Linked DNA regions of Kluyveromyces lactis. The protein of the gene in region 1 purifies or fractionates together with the protein of each later gene. This does not show direct contact. Links are inferred from orthologs where the notes say so. Each region holds a gene or a part of one and is shown in the gene's direction. Other genes may lie near its edges.

Evidence for each region.
Region 2: the proteins of CDC48 (region 1) and SIS1 purify together in Saccharomyces cerevisiae (affinity purification with mass spectrometry; 3 studies listed by BioGRID). This does not show direct contact. The link is inferred for Kluyveromyces lactis from reciprocal best matches to the Saccharomyces cerevisiae genes CDC48 and SIS1.
Region 3: the proteins of CDC48 (region 1) and DFM1 purify together in Saccharomyces cerevisiae (affinity purification with western blotting; 4 studies listed by BioGRID, with this or other methods). This does not show direct contact. The link is inferred for Kluyveromyces lactis from reciprocal best matches to the Saccharomyces cerevisiae genes CDC48 and DFM1.
Region 4: the proteins of CDC48 (region 1) and FZO1 purify together in Saccharomyces cerevisiae (affinity purification with western blotting; 6 studies listed by BioGRID, with this or other methods). This does not show direct contact. The link is inferred for Kluyveromyces lactis from reciprocal best matches to the Saccharomyces cerevisiae genes CDC48 and FZO1.

Annotation. Positions count from the first base shown.
Region 1 is NC_006042.1:552,358-557,656, reverse strand, and holds CDC48 (AAA family ATPase CDC48), read left to right. Parts: upstream 1-1,758; coding exon 1,759-4,251; downstream 4,252-5,299. Other genes in the region: HNT1 (adenosine 5'-monophosphoramidase), read left to right, coding at 523-574, 723-1,117; cyclin PCL2, read right to left, coding at 4,666-5,299. UniProt on the Saccharomyces cerevisiae protein: ATP-dependent chaperone which probably uses the energy provided by ATP hydrolysis to generate mechanical force to unfold substrate proteins, disassemble protein complexes, and disaggregate protein aggregates.
Region 2 is NC_006040.1:410,753-414,668, reverse strand, and holds SIS1 (type II HSP40 co-chaperone SIS1), read left to right. Parts: upstream 1-1,989; coding exon 1,990-3,054; downstream 3,055-3,916. Other genes in the region: TOR complex subunit LST8, read right to left, coding at 396-1,307. UniProt on the Saccharomyces cerevisiae protein: Required for nuclear migration during mitosis. It is required for the normal initiation of translation. Might mediate the dissociation of a specific protein complex of the translation machinery. Essential for viability.
Region 3 is NC_006037.1:187,035-190,841, forward strand, and holds DFM1 (Dfm1p), read left to right. Parts: upstream 1-1,636; coding exon 1,637-2,485; downstream 2,486-3,807. Other genes in the region: ERD1 (Erd1p), read left to right, coding at 1-340; rRNA-processing protein RRP17, read right to left, coding at 387-1,118; carnitine O-acetyltransferase CAT2, read left to right, coding at 3,098-3,807. UniProt on the Saccharomyces cerevisiae protein: May be involved in the degradation process of some misfolded endoplasmic reticulum (ER) luminal proteins.
Region 4 is NC_006041.1:2,152,920-2,158,125, forward strand, and holds FZO1 (mitofusin), read left to right. Parts: upstream 1-1,532; coding exon 1,533-4,010; downstream 4,011-5,206. Other genes in the region: Sec63 complex subunit SEC62, read left to right, coding at 392-1,132; EEB1 (medium-chain fatty acid ethyl ester synthase/esterase), read left to right, coding at 4,457-5,206. UniProt on the Saccharomyces cerevisiae protein: Essential transmembrane GTPase, which mediates mitochondrial fusion.

The DNA of each region.
Region 1 (5,299 bases):
TTTAAGCTGAGCTCTGGTAGCGCTTTATAATCTCAGGTTTCATTCGTTCAATAGTAACGGCTCCCAACACAATCCCTATATATAACTTTTGTAAAGGAATTACAACATTTCCACTTTGAAAGGGCACCTCTGGAACAATTATAATAAATTGGACAAGAATAATTAACAAATATACAGCAAATCTAGAAAAGAATTAAGGCAGATACCCTAAAGATAGGTTCTAGTATTGTCTACCATTAAACCAGAAACAATCATTAGTTGGAATGTCGTGCCCTACATTAGTACGAGAACCACTCCGAATCATGATTCTCATGTCGTGTCACCAACTATTCTAGTTTTCTAGAACTTGGTTTTTTTTTATATCATAAGAACATATATATAAGGGCCAATACACAAATGTATAATGATGAAAAAAGACTGAACTCCAATTAGTTGCAGATTCTCCAACATTTTCGCAGTCGAAAGAAATATTGCAATAAGTACCGATACGTGTGAATTCAAACGTTTAATAAGCCGATACCAATGAGTGCTGTTGCCCACGACGCTGCTTGTATTTTCTGCAAGATTATCAAAGGTATGTAAACCTCAAATTGTTAGGTGAGAACAAATATCTGTTTCTCCCCTTGGTTTTTGCATGCTCGCAACCACCCAAGTGGCTTAGACTAGCTCTTTGATCTTATGAACTATAATACTAACAGATTCCACTACTGGTGTACTTTCAGGTGAAATCCCTTCTTTCAAATTGGTTGAAACTCAGTATTCTTACTCGTTCCTTGACATCCAACCAACTGAAGAGAACCACATTCTTATCATTCCAAAGCACCACGGTGGGAAATTGCACAACATCCCAGATGAATACTTAGCTGACCTGTTGCCAGTTACTAAGAAGTTAGTGAAAGCCATTGGCTTCGACCAAGATGGTCCTGATGGTCCAGGGTACAATGTCCTTCAAAACAACGGTAGAATAGCCCATCAAGAAGTAGATCACGTGCATTTCCATTTGATCCCAAAGAAAACAAAGGATGCTGGATTAATCGTAGGTTGGCCTGCACAGGAAACTGATTTTGCTAAGCTGAGTGAAATGCATAAAAAGTTGCTTGCCAAACTAGAAACCTAAGCGCGATCTTTTTCGCAATGAAAGAGACCAAGATATGACGAAGATGACGAAGCTGACGAAGCTGACGAAGCTAACGAAGATGATCATTGAGATCGTCTCATATATATTATAACTACATATTTCCTACTGTACCAATTTCTACTTACCATTCACATAAGGAATCCAATAGCTCATTCGCATTGTGGGAGGGATCTTCTTAGAGAGGAGATGAAAAAATATTGTTACCCGGCCGAAATTTCACATATCCGGTGGCAAATTCTGAAATCTCTAGATTATAAAGAGGGAAGCGATTTATTATATATAAGTATTGCACACTATTTTCGGTGATCCTTGAAGGTTATTTTCAGGATTAACACCAGTAAGTGAACGCTAGATTAAATAAAGCACTCACCAGGGATTTACAATAATTGTCTCCTTTAATTGAATCATTGAATCACCAGATTAGGGGTTAGATCAAGTTATTTAATTTTTGTTTTATCTTCCGTCTTTTGGTTGAAATAAGAAGAAATAAGGTCCAATTTCAGAAGTTAATCAAGAAACCTGCATATCCTGTTTACCAAGAGCTTAATTACATCGTGGATCCTACCAGAAGGAATTACAGTATCTTTAAAACAACTTTTCACCTCAGTTATTAAGAGAACATGCCAGAAGAACATAAGAAATTGTTAGATAGTTCTGGCACTGCAGCTGACGCAGATGATGCTACCGCCACTGCCATCTTGAGAAGAAAGAAGAAGCAAAACATGTTACTGGTCGATGATGCAGTTAACGATGACAATTCTATCATTGCTATCAATTCTAACACTATGGATCTTTTACAATTGTTCCGTGGTGACACCGTTTTAGTCAAGGGTAAGAAGAGAAAGGACACCGTTTTGATTGTTATGATTGATGACGAACTGGAAGATGGTGTCTGTAGAGTAAACCGTGTTATTCGTAACAACTTGAGAATAAGACTCGGTGATTTGGTCACTATCCATCCATGTACCGATATCAAGTATGCTTCCAGAATCTCAGTGTTGCCAATCGCTGACACCATCGAGGGGTTGACTGGTAATCTATTTGATGTGTACTTGAAGCCATACTTTGTCGAAGCTTATAGACCGGTTAGAAAAGGTGACCACTTTATCGTTAGAGGTGGTATGAGACAAGTAGAGTTCAAGGTCGTAGACGTTGAGCCTGAAGAGTACGGTGTTGTTGCCCAAGATACTGTCATTCATAGTGAAGGTGAGCCAATTAACAGAGAAGATGAAGAAAATAACATCAATGAAGTCGGTTATGATGATATTGGTGGTTGTCGTAAGCAAATGGCTCAAATTAGAGAATTGGTCGAATTGCCATTGAGACACCCACAACTATTTAAGGCCATTGGTATCAAACCTCCGAAGGGTATTTTGATGTACGGTCCTCCAGGTACCGGTAAAACTCTAATGGCCAGAGCTGTGGCTAACGAGACAGGTGCATTTTTCTTCTTAATCAATGGTCCAGAAGTCATGTCCAAGATGGCTGGTGAATCTGAATCCAACTTGAGAAAGGCTTTCGAAGAAGCAGAAAAGAATGCTCCGGCCATTATTTTTATCGATGAAATTGATTCTATTGCACCAAAGCGTGACAAGACTAACGGTGAAGTGGAAAGAAGAGTCGTTTCTCAATTATTGACTCTAATGGATGGTATGAAGGCTAGATCCAACATCGTTGTCATTGCAGCCACCAATAGACCCAATTCTATCGATCCTGCTTTGAGAAGATTCGGTAGATTTGATAGAGAAGTCGATATTGGTGTTCCTGACGTTACTGGTAGATTGGAAGTCTTACGTATTCACACTAAAAATATGAAGTTGGCTGACGACGTCGACTTAGAAAAGTTGGCCGCTGAAACCCATGGTTATGTTGGTGCTGATATTGCCTCCCTATGTTCTGAAGCTGCTATGCAACAAATTCGTGAAAAGATGGACCTAATTGACTTAGATGAAGACGAAATTGACGCCGAAGTGTTGGACTCATTAGGAGTTACTATGGACAACTTCAGATTTGCATTGGGTAACTCCAACCCATCCGCATTGCGTGAAACCGTTGTAGAATCTGTTAATGTCACATGGGATGATATCGGTGGCTTGGATGAAATTAAGGATGAATTGAAGGAAACCGTCGAATATCCAGTCTTGCATCCAGATCAATACACCAAGTTTGGTTTGTCACCATCGAAGGGTGTGTTGTTCTACGGTCCTCCTGGTACTGGTAAGACTTTGTTAGCTAAGGCTGTCGCCACCGAAGTGTCTGCTAATTTCATTTCGGTCAAGGGTCCTGAGTTATTAAGTATGTGGTACGGTGAGTCCGAATCCAATATCCGTGATATTTTCGACAAAGCCAGAGCTGCAGCCCCAACTGTCGTTTTCTTAGATGAATTGGACTCCATTGCTAAGGCTCGTGGTGGTTCTTTAGGTGATGCAGGTGGTGCATCTGACAGAGTGGTTAACCAATTATTGACCGAAATGGATGGTATGAACGCCAAGAAGAACGTTTTCGTTATTGGTGCCACTAACAGACCAGATCAAATCGATCCAGCTATTTTAAGACCTGGTAGATTGGATCAATTGATCTACGTTCCATTACCAGACGAAACAGGAAGATTATCTATTCTATCAGCCCAATTAAGAAATACACCATTAGAACCAGGACTAGATCTAAAGACCATCGCTCAAGCTACACAGGGATTCTCTGGTGCAGATTTATTATATATCGTACAGAGAGCTGCGAAGTTTGCCATTAAAGATTCCATCGAGGCACAAAAACGTGCAGAAGTTGTCAAGAAAGAAGAAGGTGCAGAAGAAACCGAGAAGGTCAAGACAGAAGAAGACGTTGAAATGTCAGACGTTCAACAAGAGGATCCAGTTCCATTCATTACCAAAGAACACTTCACTGAAGCTATGAAAACAGCCAAGCGTTCTGTTACAGATACTGAGCTTCGTCGTTACGAAGCTTATGCTCAACAGATGAAGGCATCCAGAGGACAATTCGGCAACTTCTCGTTTGGTGATGATTCAGGTGCTGCCGCAACTCAAGCTGGTGCTGAGGGTTCTGGTGCAGCTTTCGGAGATGCCGCTGGTGAAGATGACGATGATTTGTACAGTTAGATACATAACCTTCACAAAACATAACAGGTCTTTTTCGATGCAAAATGAAATGTAATAAATTACAATACAGAGGAATACTTGTTGCTAAATTTACGTAGAGATTAAATATTATCTATTAATCACGTGTAACAGGATATTTGAGATAACTGGTTTTAATATGGTTAAAAGATTCATCAGTCTTAGCTATCCCTTCCAATTTTGGGTCTTGAATTCATCTTTAATTCGACCTAGTAGTGCAATGGTATATTTTCGCCAGGCAAAGCAATACAGGGTCTCCGAAGTAAAACCAAATTATATTAATGAATACATATATGTGCGAGAGTATGTACGTTTGAATGAAATAGAAAGTTGAGAGAAAGAAATGCAAATACCAAATAGTCACCTACGTGCTTCAATGTGTTGGCAATCCGTCCGTTAATGGAATATCGAAGCCCAGCCTGACTTTGAAGATATATTATTTGTGTTTGTGACTGCATGTGCAGGCAATGCTTTAAAGTCCGTACAAGACTTAGAATTCAACATAATAGGCTTCGTTAGACCAAATTTCTTCCTTGGTGTGACCTTTGCGGATGGCTCCTCACTGATAACTTTCAGTTTGCTTTGGGATAAAGACGAACCAGAAGATGAGGACGAGCCAGAAGATGATGAATATGCTAGTGACGATGACGAAGAAGCCATCGAGTCTATTGTAGACAATGTGTTCGATGAAGACAAAGAGGGGATCGACATGTGAGATGACGACCTTGAATGCGCTTCTGTATTGAGGAAATTTTTTGTTTGCCCACTCACTGGTGCGTTGAATAACAGATGTGAACAATTTTTGTTGGCACCTTGGTTCTGTATCGATTTCTTGGTACTCAACTGGTATTGGATCGGTACTAAGAAATGAGAAAGTGCCTGTACCAATTCCTGCATACTAAAATTCAAGTTCCAACTAAACAGCGAAAGCAGTTCTCTTTCAATGGTATTTACATCCTCCAAAGTGAAAAGACCATCTGTATAATTAGTCCAGTGTTTATTCAATGGGGAAGAATCGTTCAGGTTCTTT
Region 2 (3,916 bases), on another chromosome or scaffold:
AAAAACGAAAATTGGACTTGTTTTCCCATCTAATTGAACCATTCCTAATCTTCCCATTAATTTTGTATCTATTACCATACCCATTCTTGCATTTACGTGGTAATTGTCGTTCTGCTCTTTTCCTTTTCATGATCATTAATTGTACTATTGTTTTTGGACCTGTCAATTCATTCGACGACTCAAGTGAGCTCCAAAACGAATGCCACAACCAACTTCTGATCCTGGCGAAACTTTCCAGTATCATCGCAGGTCATCTTTATATATATCTAAGTGTTGAAAGTAAATAAGAGTTTTGATATCCATAGTTTTGATCTTTTTATTAAATTACTACATCAACGAAACCACAATAAAATGCTATGTCGCATATCCCTTCTTTAGAGATATTGATTAAAGTTTCATACATCGTTAAGAGCAACACAAACAGCACCTTTGTGATGTCCTCCATACTGCCTTACAATTTCACTTGTGGAAAGGTCCCATAATCTTACATAATGATCAGAGCATGCTGTGACTAGGTATGCACTGTCTGCTGAAAACGCACAATCCCACACCCATCTCTGATGACCATCTAAAGTGGTTTCAAGTTCAAAATTATCCTCTATATTCCATACTCTAGCTGTATGGTCTGCTGAACATGTTGCTAAATGTTTTACATCCGCCGATAGTAGGACCCTGGTAATATATTTAGTATGCGATTTGAATTTAGTTACGGGCTCCAAAGTGGAAGCATCCGTGTGATGAGGCATCTTCCATACATAACAGTTCCCTTTGTTATTTCCTGCAACAAGCATCGATCCGTCGCTTGCAACGGACAACGACTGTAATGGCGTGTTATCTTCTGGTGTCAGCTGGTTTGTGCACTGGTTTTCACCAAGATCCCAAATCCTGATATTCCCATCCTGATCGCAGGAAATCAATTCCCCTTGGTTCGGATGTATCGCTACTTCATTGACAGGTGCATTATGCTTGTAATTCCTTTGCACAGATGGGGACCGTACATCCCAAACCTTAATAGTCCCATCTTCACTAGACGATACCATCCATCGATTTTCCTGTTGAAATGCAATCGACGTTACGTTCCCTTTATGGCCTTCGAAAGAGGACACCGGATTTGGATTATTCGACCGTATATCATAAAGACGGACGTGTAAATGACCAGCAGCAGCCAAATATTTCTTATCGGACGTAATCTCTAATCGATTCACTTGGGAATCTGCATGTTGAATGGTTCGTGAACAGACTCCAGTCAAAGCTTCCCAGAACCTAATTGTGTGGTCGTATCCAGCACTCGCTAGAATAACAGACATGGCAATATTGAAGTTAGTCTGACCGTACACAATAAGAAACCTCTACCTTGTTCACAGGGGAGAAAAAGCCTTGAAAACTCCTCAGATTCCTTAAGACTTTCTTTCATCTAGTATATTGCATATTCTTTATCACATTAAACCATAATTTGTCAATATTCATGATTGAGATATAAACAACAGCAATTGAAACAAAAGTGGAGGCATAGAGATAGCCACAAGATTGTGTAGTGGCTAATGTCATTGAATGACACCTGATTTGCGGCTTTGTGATGACAGATTTGTATTGGTGGGAAACTTCTATATCACGTGATTGTCACATGAATCTCGCGTGCTTAAAGCATTCATGTTTTTTTACTTCTAGAAGGTTCCAGGGTATACTCTGAAAGAACATGATCGGTTGCAACAGAACTGAACCTGAATATATAGGAATGAAATGTTATATAAAGGTTTTCAAAGAACAGGATGTTTTTCGTTCAAAGATTATTGGTCGTTGGTATTCGATCGACATGTTTAGAGAAGAGTTTTATTGCATCTTTTGTCCCATTGGTATCTCGAAACAGTGTAAACATTAACTGATTCTTTTAGTTTACTCTAATTCTTCTAGTTTAGATAGAGCTAATTTGAACTATCATTCGACATATATACAAAAGGACAATTACCAAATTTGAAACGTCGTAGGAGTATGGTTAAGGACACTAAATTATATGATTTGCTAGGAATTTCGCCTAGTGCAGGTGAAGCCGAGATTAAAAAAGGGTACAGAAAGGCTGCCTTGAAGTATCATCCAGATAAGCCTACAGGTGACACTGAGAAGTTTAAAGAAATCTCTGAGGCTTTTGAGATTCTTTCAGATGCTCAGAAGAGGGAAGTTTACGATACTTATGGTCTAGAGGCTGCTCGTGGTAATGCTCCTCAATTTGGAGGAGCGGGAGGGCCTGGTGGGCCTGGTGGGCCTGGAGGATTTTCTTCTGGTGGGTTTGCCGGGGGACATGCGTTCTCACAAGATGACGCTTTCAACATCTTTTCACAGTTCTTTGGTGGAGGAGGTGCTGCCGGAGGTGCTTCTCCATTTGGATTCTCTGCTAGCGGCGGGTCTGGTGATGATTTCGGGTTTGGAGGCAGTAGTTTCCATTCCTCTTCGGGCGGCATGCCAGGCGGTATGCCAGGTGGAATGCCAGGTGGAATGCCAGGTGGATTCAGTAGACAACAGGCTAGACCTGAAGAAGAAGTTGTTCAGGTCAATCTACCTGTGTCCTTAGAAGATTTATTCAGCGGTAAGAAGAAATCATTCAAGATCACAAGAAAAGGCGCCGGTGGTGTGTCCGAAAAGAACCAAATTGACATCCAATTGAAACCAGGTTGGAAAGCAGGTACCAAGATTACTTTCAAAGGTGAAGGTGACTATAATCCAAGAACTGGTGGTAGACAAACATTACAATTCGTTCTACAGGAAAAACCACACGAATTTTTCACCAGACAAGACAATGATTTGATTTACACTTTACCACTTTCTTTCAAAGAATCTCTTCTAGGTTTCTCCAAGCAAGTACAAACCATCGACGGTAAAACAATTCCAATCACAAGAACGCAGCCAATTCAACCTACTCAAACCTCAACATATCCCGGACAAGGTATGACACTGTCAAAGAATCCTTCCCAAAGAGGTGATTTGATTATTAAGTTCAAGATCGATTATCCAACCTCTTTAACACCTCAACAAAGACAAGCCATTATGGATAACTTCTGAATGAAAGATGAAGAATGTCTTTATAACGAAAATAAATCATAAAAGTATGACATGACGATTGCAAATTTAGACTTCTGACGGTGATCATGTTTACAATTCAACGTCTGCCAGAAATATTATCTTCCCACCATTATGGTTCTATGTCATATGTTTTCATTTCTTTAAATGTTTACTCCCATTAATTATTTCCAATTCAAATGTTCCATTCACATTCACTTCAGCAGAAGCAATCTTATCGTATGGCTACATTGTCTGTCGATTAATGCGTTAACTTTCTGACCACACTGTACACTATTTTCAAAAAAATATCCTTCGGTAAATGAAGCACGCAACATAAGTTGAGGACGCAATATAATATGCGAGAGAATACAAGGAGAATTATTCAATGATTGTTAATACTGGTAAAGTAAGAAACGGGACGTTTCATTGTGACACCTCGACTTCTGTTCACAATGTAACCATTTGCATAGATTTTAACCTTCATTTACCTTTTTATTGAGCAAATGACATCATGCAAATAAAAGACATACCAATCTGCAAGTTTCCCGACTTCTATTTGGTTCCGAACAATTGATGTCTGCCAAAAAAAAAAAAACTCCAAGTATTATTATCAAATCTTCTATCTACCTCATACATTTACCATTACTTTTTGCCATTACTTCAATTGAAGACGTAATGGTGTCTTCACACGCGCATAAATAATTTACAAATTTATATATACGAATACAATGATATACAACATCGACACAGGGTACAAAAAACAGTCGTGACGAAATACGTTTTTCAATGATTAAAAATATTCTACAGTGTACATAACCTAAATGATAAACTCTATGCAGTTTTGAAATTTCGATCGATGATA
Region 3 (3,807 bases), on another chromosome or scaffold:
CTGGTGGGATGTGACCATGGATTGGAAACTAGAGCTGTTCGATTTTGTGAATGGGGACACTAGTGTCAATAACAATAATAGTAGTAACAAAGCGGACGGTCTTTTAAGAAGCATTTTGTTGTACCGGAAAAATGCGTGGTATTATAGCGCTATGGCGCTCGATTTTATTTTGAGATTCGTATGGTTCTGGGAGTATATCAGTGGGCACTCTGTATTTTATGGGGAATTAAACATCTTTTGGTTACAAATTTTAGAGATAATCAGAAGATGGATTTGGTTATTCTTTAAAGTCGAGGTAGAATACATTGCAACAACAGAGGGGGGGAAAATGGATGAATGAGATGTTTAGAAAGAGAGGAAGATAATAAATAAAAAAAAAAGGTTAATTACTTCCTACGTTTATTATTGTTGGCCTTTCTTTGATTTTGTCTTCTCTCGTTCTTGGTCAAGTATCTGAACTTCTTATTCTTTTTACTCTTATTACCAGATTTTTCTTCAACTCCCAAAAACTTTGCATATTTCTTCGCACGTTCGATGCTTTGATCTAAAATTTGTTCCGATTTCTCTAACTTCACATTATTTAATTCCGCAAGGTACTCAAAATTGTCATTGGGCTCTAAGGGTTCGATGTCTACCGTAGTATCATCTAAGTAAGTCTGTACATATTTCTTTAAGATCGGTTTCACACTAACAGAGTCAGAATCCTCTTCTTCTTCTTCAGTTGCATCTCCGTTATCATCGGAAAATCCCGTCCATTCTTCAGCCTCTTCATCGCTTCCCTGTTTCCCATTTTCGGCTTCTTCGTCGTCGTCCTCTACACCGACATAATCACCGACATCTTTCATCGCCTGTTTAAAATCTTCAAGCTGTTTCTCAAGAGCCTTTTTTTTATCTGCTCTGATCTTGGCCCTTTCCTCGAGCCTAGCTTTTCTCTCTTGCTCTTGGATGAACTCCTTGGCTTTCTTTTGTCTATCAAGCTTTCTCTTATGGAACCCAGTTAAGTATTCCAACCGTGAGTCCTTATCGAACTTTACCTCATCAGCACCGAATTTCTTAGCAGCTTTCTGCTTGTAAGATTTACCACCGGTAAGAATCTCACGATTACTCTTTGCCACCATTTTCACTCTATATCCACACTGCTACTCTGTATCTTCTGCAGAACTTGAACCGGTCTCAGCACCACCTCAGTAAGTGAAAAGCCTATCTGCTTTCTTCAGCTCATCGCATCAGCAAGTTTTTCCGTTTTAATGCTTTTTCCAAATATTGAAACTTCGAGATACAGAAAGAAATACATAGATAACTATAACATGATTGCATAAGGGCAATCTAGCCGTCCTGACCTAATTTATCTAGACCAATTCATATGCTCTGCCATGCACTAAGTAGAAAACAAATCTAGGCGTATACCTGTGTAGAGGATCATTACTTAACTATTCAATTTCTGTCATTCTGTGCTTTCCTATCTATGTCTTTCCCATAGCTTTAATTTTCGGGTTCTATGAAATTTCAGTTCCAAGTTGCAGTGAAAGAAAGATATTTATACTCACTATACAGATGCGCTGTCAAGATAGACACCGGAGGTACCATTCAGTAACATCAGTGGGATATACGATACGCGTGATTATTCATAGCAGCCATGACTATGCGTAACGAATTGATACAGTTTGTAGGACAAATTCCACCGGTGACCCGAGGAATATGTCTCTTAATGGTGTTAATATGTTTGATCCAACGCTTGAACGTATTACCGTACTATTTCAGCGATTTCAAATGGTCTTTACGTGGTGTATTGTTCAAGTTCCAAATCTGGAGGTTGTTCACTAGTTTCCTCATCTTACCAAACGATGCCATGAAAGCATGTTTCGACCTATACGCAGTATACTCGAAATCGTTACATCTCGAATTAGTGCACTTCAGCAACAAATCCATCGATTATTTGTTTTACATATGTTTCAACTTTGCATTGATCGTCGTGCTCGTAGAAGCATGCCAGATCTCATACCCAGTGTTCACTAACGCATTCATAGGAATGATCCTATATACGTGGACTCTGGACAACAGCAACGTGAAGGTAATGTTCTACGGATTATTCCCAATCTTGGGTAAATATCTATCGCTAGTGCATCTTTTCGTTTCGTTCTTATTTGATGACGGGACCGATGGTTACAGCAGGTTTTGCGTCACAATGGTCGGGTTTTGTGCTGGATACGTTTACTCCTGCCTAGACACATGGACTTACGGTCCCTTGTACGGTTATCTGATGGGGAAGGACCCAGCGTACGGATTCTCTGGAAGAGGTCATTTCAGATCACCAAGATGGTTCTCCTCGATCATTCTATGGATAGGACGTGTCCTATCCATCACCTCCAAACCCGTTTCGTCATCAAACAGGACAGACCCCGTGACCAGAAGAAGGTTGAGAACCCCGTTAAAGAAAAGCACTTTCGCTGGAACTGGAAATAGATTAGGGACCAAAATAGACTGATTAAGGTACTAATAATCCGACATACTGTTATCTATATTATCTACATCTCCCTTGTGTATATATCATTTGTGTTATTTTATTTACCCCAGGTTTAATGGAAATATGTCGACAATGGAAAATTGATTTTGTATGATGGTTCTGCCTAAAAGCCCGTTATGGCGAGAAAATAGTTGATGATCAAAAAGTGTTGGAGCAAACGAATGACCACAGGGACCAAGAGTGGAGGTGAAGCACGTCTTGGGTACAGGATTGCAGAGAGTTACTGGTACAGGTTCGTTGATGATCACTCGGTTCGGACGTATATAACGGAATGGGCTCTTGTGTAATGAATGATCAGCAATTCGGATTTCTCGAGTTTCAGCCTTTTATGAATAAAACCATGTACAAATGAGCTAGTATTATTTAGTATATATATAGCTGCATTTCAGAAGTTAAGGACACCTTTCGCTTTTAATAGGTTTGTTCCGAAAATGGTTTCCTTGCCGGTTTAAACAACCAAAATCATCCTCAAGAAAGCGGAACACGATATAGAATAAAAGGTTTCAATTGTTGTGATATTTATTTTATTTATTAGTTAAATACCCGTTGTGAATACCAACACCAACAGTGACGATGAGAAGTATGGCATTTAGAAGCAGTGCTGGTATTAGTATGGGGATGAGACGCATGGGTCAAGGTAACAAGAAAAGTTCTATATTGAGACAGATGTCTGGTAAGATGCAGTATTCGGGGTATCAGAAGTTCCCTTTTGAGACCGGGACTAACGATGAGTATATTGCAGAAAGACCTAATTCGTATTATCAGGAGAAGAGACCTGGGTTCAAAGGAGCCACTTACTCAAAACAACAGGATATGCCATCCTTACCGATTCCGGAGTTGAAATCGACTTTGGACAAATATTTGAAGTCTATTAAACCGTTTTGTCAGACGGATGCTGAATATGAGAAACAGATCCAGTTATGTTACTCATTTCTTTCAGACCAAGGCCCTGCTTTGCAGGAGCGGTTGTTGAGTTATTCTCAGGAGCGGAGAAACTGGATGCAAGAACTATGGGATAGTCAGATTTATCTTGGCGATAGGTCACCTGTGGTTCCTTTTGTGTCATATTTTTATGGTCATAAGCCTTTACCAACTAGTCACCGTGCCATCGATGGCGACATGCTTGTTAAGGCCACGGCGATTATTTCTAGTGTGGTGAAGTTCGTGGAATCCTTGAAAGATGAAGCCTTGCCAGCAGAAGTGGTGAAGGGCAAACCTTTCTGTATGAACGGATTCCAATATATGTTCAATAATTCAAGGGTTCCTCAATTCAATATCGATAC
Region 4 (5,206 bases), on another chromosome or scaffold:
ATTTTCCCACTACTGCAAACCTTTGAAAAGAAAAAAAAAATTGTGCTTTCAGGATTTCTTTTTCGTATGGATCTCAGAATTGACCGTTAAAGGCATACACATTGGTTATGTCACGTGACTAAAGCACTTTCTTTTGAGACTGTCGGGGTAACAATATATTTTACTGTTAAAATGTATGTGAACATTTTATTTACGGTTTACGTTTCAACTTTCAATATATACAGAAATATCAATGAGATTTTGATCTGAAAGAATACAGCTTGAGTCCAATCTCTAGATTCATTATAACTTTCTAATCACTACCTGATAATTGCCTAATTTCCGGTAGAATTGCCTTATCCGCCTTTTTTTTTTGAATTTTTCTCTTCAAATATAGATTTGTTTCGTTACTATGTCGGAACCAAGCCCACAATCTACGATAGCCATTGCCAATCTACTCAGGACTCATAGCGACTTGAAGCAAAGACAAGGATTGTTCCAATCGCGTTTAGTTGACTTCTTCCGTTATAAAAGATTTGTTAGAGCTTTGAAAAGTGATAAATATAAGGCAAAGTCCAAAAAACAACCCGAATTGTACCCCGCTGTGACAAGCGATGAAGATGCTCGTAACATTTTTGTTTCCTTAATCAAGGCCCAATTTGTCGTACCAGCGGTTAAATTACATTCTGCAGAATGTAAAGAACATGGTCTAAAGCCAAACAAATCATATCCAAACTTATTATTATCGAATAAAGCGACTCTACAACCAGATGAATATTACGTCTGGTCTTATAATCCAAAATCAATTTATGATTACTTGACTGTGATCGGTATCATAGTCGGTGTGCTAGCATTCGTGTGTTACCCATTATGGCCTCCATATATGAAACGTGGTACTTACTACTTATCCATTGCAGCATTGGCACTTATCGGTGTATTCTTTGGTATTGCAATTGTGAGATTGATAGTTTACTTGTTGTCATTAGCTGCAGTTAGCGAGAAGGGTGGGTTCTGGCTCTTCCCAAACTTGTTCGAAGATTGCGGTGTTATAGAAAGTTTCAAACCGCTATATGGATTTGGTGAAAAGGAATGCTATAGCTTCCTGAAGAAAGAAAAGAGAAAGCATAGATCAGTTGCAAAGAAGCAAAAATAACTTCAATGTAACGGACTTCCATCCCAGACTGTACATTAGCAATTTAACTATCACAGAAGGTGTATGTTCATTCTTTCGGTGAGAATCACATACTAATATCACATATAAACATACAAACATATATAAATATAGATATATGTACTCATACTAATATCAGTAGTGACATCTTTGGTTTCTGACACTAGAAATCACCTTCTTTTAAAGTTTTATTTTGCATGAATTGATTTAAGGTCAAGTAAGAAAATGAAAAACGCAGCAACAGTAATGAAAACAGTAATGAAAGCAGAAGTTGCAAACAGTTAGAAAAATAATGCCAACAGGATACCACTCGCTTCCAATCCTAGTATAGGTATTATAACTGAGCGAACGGCCGCACCACAATATTACAAACTTCTGCAACATGTCACAGAAGGAAATATCGCAGAATTCTAATAGAAGAAGCTCTAAATATGAAGATGAGTTGAGCAACGATGCCCCGTTTGAAATTTCATCACATCAGTTGGAGTCAAGTACAACTTTAACAGATGTTCAAATGAGTAACCTTCTACAAAGGCATTCTTCTCATCGTCGTGATAGGTCGAGAGATCATATGTTTTATTCTCATTTGACACAACAATCATACTCTCTCAACAGAAACAGTCTTCTCGATTCCATTACCGTGGTCAGGCCTTTGATCAACGATTTGATCACTGAAAATAATCAAAGAGCCATCTATATTCCAGAGCATTCTGAATCTTTGGACGTATTGGAACTTAAAGTCAAACTAGATGGTAGGGAGAATATGCAACTTGATAAGAGTGCTTTGGCGCAGTTATTCAAAACACAAGCGTTATCTGCGATTGACCATTTGATTAATTTACAAACTCGTGTACAGGATACTTCTTCAAAAGTTTTCATAACAGGCGATTTGAACTCAGGAAAATCTACGTTATGTAACGCATTTTTGAGAAAGAAGGTTTTGCCTGAGGATCAATTGCCTTGTACCAATGTATTCTGTGAAATTTTAGAAGCGAGAGAGAACGGAAATATGGAAAGAGTCCATGCCATTCCCAAGACCGTGGCAACTAACGTTAAGGATGCATCCGTATTATACGACATGAGAGACAGATCGACTTATGAAGATTATACTCTCGATAAGCTAGATCAATTGGTTTATGATAATGATCACTATATCTTGTTGAAGATATATATTAAAGATGATAAAAGGCCGGTTGACTCTAGTTTGTTGAGAAACGGAACTGCAGATATATCTCTTATTGACTCTCCTGGGCTTAATATGGATTCAGTGAAAACAACTGAAGTGATGTCTAGGCAAGAAGAGATTGATCTTGTAGTATTTGTCGTCAATGCCGAAAATCAATTAACATTATCTGCTAGAGAATTCATTACTATGGCTTCAAGGGAGAAGAAATTAATGTTCTTCGTGATCAACAAGTTTGATCATATCAAGGACAAAGACAGATGCAAGAAGCTGATTCTAGATCAGATCAAGGAAATTTCTCCAGAAACTTATAAGCAGAATAGTGAATTTGTACACTTTGTTACCAGTCATGGTAAAATACCCCATGAAGGCGAAAATCGCCCTGATGGAGGAGATGACCCAAATGGAGACATGCCAAACCCTCCAAAAGAAGATCCTGATTTCGATAAATTAGAGGACAATTTGCGTAATTTCGTCTTCAAGAAAAGATCACTCTCGAAACTTTTACCAGCAAAAACTTATCTAATAAAGCTATTGAAGGATCTTGAAAGGATATCACAATGTAATCTTGAAAAATATAAAGAGGAAGACTATCATTTGAATGCCCTTCTAATTGATTTGCAACCGGAACTCCACGATGTTACCAATCGCTGTTCTGAGCTTATCGAATCAATTGATAAAATTTGCGAATTTACCACAAAGGAAGTATATGGATACACAAAAATGCAAATTAACAAAGCGTTAATACTAAAGCCTGCTGAATTCCCTCCATATTCTGGTCTTTCTGGCATTTATGACTATGTTCAACGAGTTAGAACTTTCATCGTGGACCAAATTTTAGCCAGCGTACAAGTCAGTGAAGCATATGCTAAGAACAGCGCAGAACAATCAGTTTCTCAAATAAACGCATTAGCGAAGGAACAACTAGGTGATGAATTTATGGCGGGCAAGGTTTTCAAGAGTGGTTTGATGTTCACCAAGAAAAAGCATAATTTAAGCAAAAAATTGAATATTCCATTAGAATTGCATAACTTTTTGGATCCATCTGTTGAAGGATTTATCTCTTACCTATCCTGGGGTCTCGTTAAACCAACACCGAAAATTACTAACGAAGAGAATACTTTGACTACCAAAAGCTCATGGTCGCAATCCCTTGCATTAACATCATATTCTGTTTCACAGTATTGGACCAACCCATCGTTAATCTTTACTTCAAAGATCCCAACATTACTGGTCTATTCCTTTGGGGGTTCTAAAATGATAACAAATATCGTGCTTCATGGCTCAAGGTTTTTCTCTTTAGAATCCTTGAAAAAATTGTCTGGATCGTTGATACTGCTAGGGGGAGTCTTAGGAATAGCCTATTTAATTCACGACTTACCAAGAGCGCTACCGATGAAGTTATCCTTGAAATATAAGCTACGATTACAAGAAATCGATTATGCGCATAATAACGCTGACCGTATCTCGAAAGAAGTATCACAGGTGTTCAAATACCCAACCAGAGAAGTGGTAAAAGCGTGTGAGTTAATTGTTGATAAAAAGACTTCCCAAAAGAAAGAAGTAGAATGCAAAGTAAGGGATAACGCAATGAGTATTGAATTTTTCCAGGCGTTATTATCCAAGTCACAGAAACAGAGAGGTACTGTGGAATCGATCAATTTGGAAGTAGATTGATTAAATGGATCTATGGGCATTACAGGACCCTAAAGAACAGAATCATTCTTCTATCTGAAACCATATATAATTATTCCCATATGATAGTTTTTCATGTAAATATTTCATTACTGCTGCGGATCCGAACCAACTAAACATATTTACAACCTTACTTTCGGTCCCCTTTCCCCTCCATGGCTCATGCGAGACCCTTCGTTCATAACCTCCGGATCCTTCGGCTGATATTTTTACGGTCCGAAAATCAAACACCTGTAGCATCACCAGAACCCATTTCAAATGCGAAATATATAAAGATGGAAACAGAATCAAGGAACGAGCCACAGATATTCTGACTTATTTTATTTATCTTCATAAAATTGGTTATATACTTTGGTAATATTTTTCGTCTACCCTATTTGTGTACTGACACAACGACGTTGTCTCTTATCTAATAAACGTTGACAATAATGGTGAACTTATTATTCAACCCACTGCACTGGGGTTACAATGGTACTGTAACTCAACATATCGGTGAAAAAGGAACAATCAAGTTGCAAAAGAAAGATGGATCCGAGGCTCAATTGCATGAATTAATCTCCGAAGAGGTTACTGGATTGAGCGATGGCAGCAAATTTCAATTAAGTCCACTAATCTTTACTGGTATTTTACAAACCATGTATTTGGCAGGTGGTGATTTCAGCAAGAAATTCAATGTATTTTACGGTAGAGAACTGTTTGAGATGTCTGATCATGGGATTGCCAGTATTGATTGGGTTAGAAATGACTGGAAGAAACTGTACGAACTAGACCCTGCCACCGGTACATACAATAAAGAGAAACTAGCTGAGGATGGTAAAAAGACACATCCTGAAGGCTGGCCTCGTTTGCATCCACGTACTAGATACATGGATGACGAAGAAAAAGAGTCTGTTTTGAACGATACAAGTAAGCCATTGATCATTGTTATGCATGGTTTGGCTGGTGGTAGCCATGAACCAATCATCAGATCATTAACGGAGCAACTTTCAAATATCTCTAATGAGAAGTTTAAAGTGGCCGTGTTGAACACCAGAGGTTGTGCACGTACAAAAGTTGTATCACCGAAATTGTTCTATGCGTTTGCAACAGAAGATCTGCGTGAGTTTGTGCAAAGAGAACACAAGCGTGATCCAAAGAGAAAGATTTATGCTGTTGGGTTTTCATTCGGTGCAACAATG